2 linked regions of the Macaca mulatta genome follow. The protein of the gene in region 1 interacts with the protein of each later gene in a pairwise test. Links are inferred from orthologs where the notes say so. Each region holds a gene or a part of one and is shown on either strand. Other genes may lie near its edges. The genes, in order: MCM3AP and MCM3.

What was found.
Region 2: the proteins of MCM3AP (region 1) and MCM3 interact in a two-hybrid assay, tested with the Homo sapiens proteins (2 studies listed by BioGRID). The link is inferred for Macaca mulatta from reciprocal best matches to the Homo sapiens genes MCM3AP and MCM3.

The regions. Positions count from the first base shown.
Region 1 is NC_133408.1:1,296,354-1,300,694, reverse strand, and holds the start of MCM3AP (germinal-center associated nuclear protein), read right to left. Parts: upstream 3,091-4,341; 5' UTR 2,810-3,090; exon of another isoform or gene 2,685-2,809; intron 2,582-2,684; exon of another isoform or gene 2,497-2,581; intron 2,437-2,496; exon of another isoform or gene 1,898-2,436; intron 1,575-1,897; 5' UTR 1,467-1,574; coding exon 248-1,466; intron 15-247; coding exon 1-14. Other genes in the region: endoribonuclease YbeY, read left to right, coding at 3,091-3,300.
Region 2 is NC_133409.1:130,045,601-130,048,616, forward strand, and holds part of MCM3 (DNA replication licensing factor MCM3), read left to right. Parts: intron 1-951; coding exon 952-1,055; intron 1,056-1,903; coding exon 1,904-1,989; intron 1,990-2,465; coding exon 2,466-2,535; intron 2,536-3,016. UniProt on the Homo sapiens protein: Acts as a component of the MCM2-7 complex (MCM complex) which is the replicative helicase essential for 'once per cell cycle' DNA replication initiation and elongation in eukaryotic cells.

The sequences.
Region 1 (4,341 bases):
TCCTCTTAGAGAATCTAGGGGTTCAGAGAGTGGACACTTAAACCATCAGATGTTTCCGACAACAAGAGGCACCAACTGTGTCAAAGCAGAGGAAATTTTCACAGATTTAAGACCTGCTCCATATGACATGTTAGAATCCCTAATGTTTATGGGAGATTTATGTGAAAAATCAAGCTAACCCCCCAGAGAAACGTATTGACAACCTGCCAGCAGGATTTACTCTACGTTCTACATTTTCAGAGCTCACCTTCTTTCTTCTCTCTACTTTCAGTTTCTTCCTCTTTATTCACACCTGGCATCCGGGAAGGTGCCAGGACAGACTGACTCCCTCCTGGGATAGCCATGTGGTCACTTTCTCCAGACTCAACAAATCCAATTTCCTTTTTGGCCTCCTTGTTGCCCAGACGACATACTTCCTTATTGCTTTTGAAAACATCCTGTATCGTCCGACCAAATAAAGTACCTCCCCGGGGTCGATTCAGGCGGACAGGTCGTTTGTCCGGAGGATGATCACCCCGGGACAGAGGATCCAAATCTTCTGCTGTCTCGTGGCCATGTCTCCTTGGGGAGCGATCCTGATCCTCCTTCCTTTTCATTCCTTTCATTAGGCTGGGAAGTGGTTCCACCTGGGAAACAGCTTCTTCACACCCCTGCCTGACACCTGCTTTGCTAGCCTGGAAAGGTTCGCCCAAAACCGCAGATGACACAGGGAAGCTGCTGAAGCTATTACTAGAACTTCCAAATATTGACTTAGGTCCTCTCTTCTCTTCCTCTACATTTTGGTTTGACAAAGCAGGGGTAAAGGCAGATAATGAATTATTACTACTAACAGGTTTTGAAAAGGTAAAATTTGAATTGGTAGCTGAACTACTTGTTACTTGAGGAAAAGAGAATGGGGCCAGGCCTCCAGGTGCACTACTAATTGGGTGGGAAAACGTGAAAAACCCAGAAGCAATTTGGCTCTGGGTTTTCTCTGGCTCAGATTCAGCCCCCAGTATTGGTTTGAACACTGCATTTTCCAGAGGTTTAAAGCTGAATTCTGTTTTCCCAAAACCAGAGTTCACTATTTCTCCAGCTTCTTGTCCAAAAGCAGAGGTGCTTGGGAAAGCCCCAACACTGGTGGGTGATTTAAAACTAAATCCTGGGTTTCCCAGCACAGATGAACTTGAAGGCCCAGAGGTAGCCACAAAGGTGGAAGTGTGCTCAAGTCCAGAAAAGGGTCCAACACTTGAGGATTGGGTGAACCCTAATGTTTGCACTGAAGAGGAATGACTTACTCCGGAAGACGCTGGAAAGCTGGACACCTGTGAAAATCCCGAGCTCTTCCCAGATAAGGTACTGTTTTGTCCAAAAAGAGAAGGTTGACCAAATCGAAATGGCGACTTAGATGGAAGTGTTCCTACATTACTAGAAGACGCTGAAAAAGCACTAGGCTGCTGCCCACTGAAAGGATTAGTTGGGTTCATCTTCTGTTCCAATTATTAGAAGGTAATAAGTATTACGTGTGCAAAATTAACTGGCTTCCTGAAACAGCCCCGTAGCACTAGGGAGCTCCCCTTCGTCTTCAGAACACGCTGAAAGACAAAAATTCAGATCATCACAGCTATGTTCTGCTACAAGACTAAGAAAAGAATTTTTGAACACTGTCACACTAAAAGATAACTATTTCAAAGGCAGGCAAAGGGCTATTATTTTCCGAGAGCCAACAGGTTATTTTGTTGGAGGGTGGAGTAGAGAGTGGTACAAATAATTACTTTGTTACAGAGATTTAAAGCGTGATCCCTTTAAGATTAAAAGAAAAGAAAGCCGAATAAGAAAAGAAAGCCGACTCTTTTTACTGAGTTAGTAAATTCATGAAAAACCTCCATTGGTAGTAAGAAGATAAATGCTGTTCCACCTTACAGCTTAGAGACGAATTTCTCCTGTCTTCCTCCAATCTCTACAGCCGGAGAACTCAGCGTAACGCTGCCTGGCTTCCCTCGGAGCGGCTGGAGCGCTAACCACTGTCTCACATTCCTTTATCGCGCCCTGGCGACCACCCTCGAGCCGGCTGGAAGGGCGAGGGCGCTGCCACGGAGCTGCGGCCTCTCGGCGGGGACGGCGTGCCGGGGAGCCTAATCTTCCACCCAGCACAGCCCGAAACGGCGGAGGCCGCGCGGTGGGCCCGGGCCGGCCTGGTCACTGTACTGCCCCGGGCTCGCCAGGGGCCGCCGGCGCCGCAACGCTCCGTTAGCGACGATGTGGAGGCCCGGGCGCGCGGACGTGCGCGGGGGAAGGAAACGGCGCCCCCGGCGCCGGCCCAGCCCCCACGCTCACCGTCTAGCCGCAGGACCCCGAGGCCCGCGCTGCCCTCGGGCCCCTCGGAAGGACTAGAGGCGCAAACACAGGCCGCTGCCGCGATACTCAGCGCTGCCCTCCGCGGGCAGGAAACGCCGCGGACCGACTTCCGGTTCGCTCGGCACTACCGTGTTCCGCCCCGCCCGCTGCGATCCGGTTCCGCTCTCCCCAACCGGCTCGGCGGCGGGGCTTCCGGTCGGGAGGGTCCGCCAGCTGTCGCGCCTTTTGCCGGGTCCAGACATCGGTACGTCTGGGCGGGTTTCTAGTCTCCCAAGCGAGAGCGTCGCATTCACCCCCGTCGGTCTGCGGGCGCCCCAGACCCCAGAGGACCTGGCCCCAGCGCTTACCTGTGTCCCCCATTCTGTGCTCCCCATTCCAGCCCGTTCCCTCCTCCGCAGCGTCCCTCCCCGGCCGCGTCCCTCCCCCGCACCCGCCGCGTTCTCGCGCGCCTCGCCCCGCGCGCACAGTGCACCTGTCCCTTCTCTGGGAACCGCTCCTTCCGCTCCGCCCTCCTGGAGTCCCGGCCTGATTCCGCGGCGTCCTTCCATAGCCCCTCGTTGTTGCATCCTCCTTGTGGTAAATGTAAATTACCTTAAGATTTTTCAATCAGTTCCACCAAATAAAGTGATTTGATTGCGTGTGCATGTGTATTTTTACAGAATGTGTTATCACTTGTACTGATTGGTCTTCTCTTACACCTTAACCCCAGGTTCCGTTGCAAACATTTTTAAAGGGCTGGTTATTCTTCGTGAAATGAGTTTGGTGATTAGAAACCTGCAGCGAGTCATCCCCATCAGGAGAGCGCCACTTCGCAGTAAGATCGAGATTGTAAGGAGGATTTTAGGAGTGCAGAAATTTGACCTGGGGATCATCTGTGTTGACAACAAGAATATTCAGCACATTAATAGAATCTACAGAGGTAGAAACGTCCCAACCGATGTGCTTTCTTTTCCATTTCATGAGGTAAAAAAAAAAAAAAAAGGGTTCCTCTTGTCTAGCCTACCTTCCCAGAGTAAATTTCCTGTCTTTTTTTTTTTTCTTTAATTAAGACGGAGTCTTGCTCTGTCACCCAGGCTGGAGTGCAGTGGTGCGATCTCGGCTCACTGCAACCTCCCTGCCTGCTTCAAGTGATTCTTTTGCCTCAGCCTCCCCAGTAGGTGGGACTACAGATGTGGGCCACCACACCTGGCTATTTTTTTTTTTTTTTTTTTTGAGACGGAGTCTTGCTGTGTCGCCCAGGCTGGAATGCAGTGGCGCGATCTCGGCTCACTGCAAGCTCCGCCTTCCGGGTTTACGCCATTCTCCTGCCTCAGCCTCCCAGTAACTGGGACTACAGGCGCCCGCCACCGCGCCCTGCTAGTTTTTTGTATTTGTAGTAGAGACGGGGTTTCACCGTGTTAGCCAGGATGGTCTCGATCTCCTGACCTCGTGATCCGCCCACGTTGGCCTCCCAAAGTGGGTTAATTTTTTTGGGGGGGGGTATTTTTAGTAGAGACAGAAGTTTCACCATGTTGGCCAGGCTGCTCTTCAACTCCTGACCTCAGGTGATCTGCCTGCCTCGGCCTCCCAGAGTGTTGGGATTACAGGCGTGAGCCACGGCGCCCAGCCTAAATTTCCTGTATTAATTATATTATAGGCTAGGCTCTGTGGCGCATATAAGTATATATATTACAGACATGATTTTTAATTTTAATTTTGAAAATTTCCAAATACACACAAAAGTAGAGAGAGCAGTATATTCAGCCTCCACTGATCGATGGCCGTCACCCAGAGGCCACAATTACACCGGTAAGCCAGCAGAAAAAGAAAGGTAACAGCCGGGCATGATGGCTCATGCTGATAATCCCAGCACTTTGGGAGCCCAAGGCAGGTGGATCACCTGAGGTCAGGAGTTCGAGATCAGCCTGGCCAACATGGTGAAACTCTGCCTCTACTAAAAACACAAAAAATTAGCTGGGTGTGTGGGGGGAGGGGCGCAGTGTGCCTGTAATCCTAGCTACCTGG
Region 2 (3,016 bases), on another chromosome or scaffold:
TGGCAGGGTATGAGAGGCTCTTCTGAATAAATTACAGATGCATGGGCTTCCCAGCCTTCCATGACTGACAGCTACATTTGGATCGTCAACAGAAAGCAGTATTTGTCTTCCAGTGATCAGTCTGCCTCACTCTTTCCTCTGGAACACTCTGTGATTCTCAACCTTGACTGTACCTGAGAATCAGATGGAAAGCTTTAAAATGCTGATTCCAGGGCTCCTAGAGATTCTGGTTTAGTTGATGTGCTATACTTTCAGTCGGCTGCTTCTCTGTGTACTCCTACTTCCTTTGCATCTTAGAAAAAAAGTAGGTGTTTTCAAAAGGGCTACCTTGGTAATCTTCCTTGTCCCTCTGTACCCTTTCCCCTTGGTAGTCTCTTCAAATGTCCCATTGGCACCTCAGAAGCTCATGTTTAAAGTTGAACTCTCAAACTTGCCTCATCCTGTTTCCCAATTTCTGTTTGTGACATTGCATCTCTGTCATTTTAGATATTAAGCCTCAAAGCTTAGACTCCCTTTTCCTAGTTGCCCACTCCCGCCCCCGTCTGGTGAATTTTAGTTTTGGGGTTGAGTTGTGAGTCTGATAAAGTCTTCCTCACTTTTTGCTAGGTTAAGGGTTGTCTCGGATTTCAATTAGACACCTGATTTATAAGGAAATAGATTGTTTTCCACTTTACTATTATGTGCTAGACATTTGTTTCTTTATTCAGTAAACATTTATTGAGTACCTACTATATAAACAGCATATAACGTACTTCCCAGCATTTTAAAAAGGTGGGTAGCAGTCTCTACTTCTGCCCCTGGTCCTGGGACTTAGGGATAAGAGGAGCTAGGTAAACCATTGGAAACATGGAAGTCATTCCTGCTTATGGTGCAGAAGAGACTCGGAGTTCTCGATGCAGTTCCCCTGCATCAGTGACCCCTCCAGCCCACCCACACTTGCCTTGGTCCTAGGTTCTGGAGAAGGAGAAGAAACGTAAGAAGCGAAGTGAGGATGAATCAGAGACAGAAGATGAAGAGGAGAAAAGCCAAGAGGACCAGGAGCAGAAGAGGAAGAGGTAAGGTGGGGCAAGCAAATGAGATTAAAAAGTTGGTGGCCAAAAAGTTGGTGGCTCACACTTGTAATCCCAGCACTTTGGTAGGCTGAGACGGGTGGGTCACTTGAGTCCAGGAGTTTGAGACCAGCCTGGAAAATATGGCAAAACTCTGTCTCTACAAAAAGTAGAAAAATAGCCGGGCGTGGTGGCGGATACCTGTGGTCCCAGCTGCTCGGTAGGCTGGGGTCGGAGGATTGCTTGAGCCTGGGAGGCAGAGGTTGCAGTGAACCGGGATCACGCCACTGCACTCCAGCCTGGGTGACAGAGAGAGATCCCATCTGAAAACAACAAAAAAAGTTCCAGTGGGACTGGGGAGAGGAGTAGAGGGTAGAGGGTGGAATGAGCGCTGCTTATTGATGTCAGGTTGTTCATGGAGGGTGTTCCTAGACCTGTACGGTTTGTGGATGAAGATAACCTGGGTAAAAGAGAGACAAAGAGAGTGAGACCTTCTCATGTGCTTTTGACCCCTCTACTGAAGAAATGCTAAATAGTAGGAACAGCAACCCAACCACTGAGGGTTTTGAATATATACTTAAAAATTCTAAGGGAAAAACCTTCATGCTTATGGTTGAACTTATAAGGGTGAGTGATGTGGGAAAGAGCATTGGAAGCAGCGCCTGTTTGTGTTCTAGTCTGGGGACTTGGTCGTGTTTAGAACAAGCAGCAGTTTGCAAAGGCCTAAGCCTAGTGCTTCACTTTGACTTAGTGGTTCTGTTTCCTTTTCTCCATAGTTAGAAGCACAACATGGGGCTCCCTTGCCTTTCTGTCTCCAAACTTTCTCTCTCTCTTAACTGCCCTGGGTATTTTAGAAGGAAGACTCGCCAGCCAGATGCCAAAGATGGGGATTCATACGACCCCTATGACTTCAGTGACACAGAGGAGGAAATGCCTCAAGGTGAGTGAGCGCCCCTTAGTGATGAAGGAGGTTGTTCCTGTGACTCTTGGACTTTTCCAGTTGCTCTGTGCACTTTAGTTTCTTGTGGACTCTTGTTTGTTTGGCTCCCTGTTTGGGGCCTATGTCCAAGAGGTTTGTCCCAAGAGAGCTTCAGGGGAAACCCACAGTAAAAGCTTTGGAAGAAGCTTTGCTCTATTGTGTACACCTCCTTGATGAACTGTGCTGTGCTATACCTGGTATAAGCATTTCACATAATATGTATTTTGAGGGTCTCCTGCCTCACTAATTCCTTCATCATCCAGTGAAGATTTCCCTTTGTCCTAATTGTTCTGCCTGGCCCCATAAGAACCCTAGGAAATAGGAGTGTTCAGCAGGCTGAGTGAGGGATTGGGAGTGGAGATGAGTTCCCTAGTGTTTGTGGAAATGGCTTCACCTTGCTAATCTTCCCCATCTCTACAAACATCAACCCGCTGAAGTACACACTCCAAAGACAGCAGACTCACAGGAGACCAAGGAATCCCAGAAAGTGGAGTTAAGTGAATCCAGGTGAGTAGGGATGTTGCTCCTGCCCCTTCAAGAATTCTGTATCACTGAGGAAGGGACTTTTTTCCCTTGGAGAGGGTGGGAAAAAAACTGCTGGTTATCAGTAAAACACAAAGCTGGAGACCCGCGGCTTTTAACATTTTATATTCTCATTTAATTTCAAACTTACTGAAAAGTTACGAGAAAAGCATGAAGAACTTCTGGATGTCCTTTACCCGGAATCTTCAGTTGTTTAAATTTTACCGTTTGCTTTATTAATAATTCTCTCTCTAAGAATTTGAATTATGTCTGTGTGGGGTTAGGAAGAAGAGTTTTACAACAAGTACAACTTACGTCTTACTGTAACCTCAGATTCTTCTTGGTGGGATAGATATATTTTGGCCATTTGTTTTTGAAATGAATTTTTACCACCAGGGTTTTAGGAGACATTTTTATCTATGAATTTTGTTTACTGAACACCAAAGAAACTCCATAGGCAAGTTTT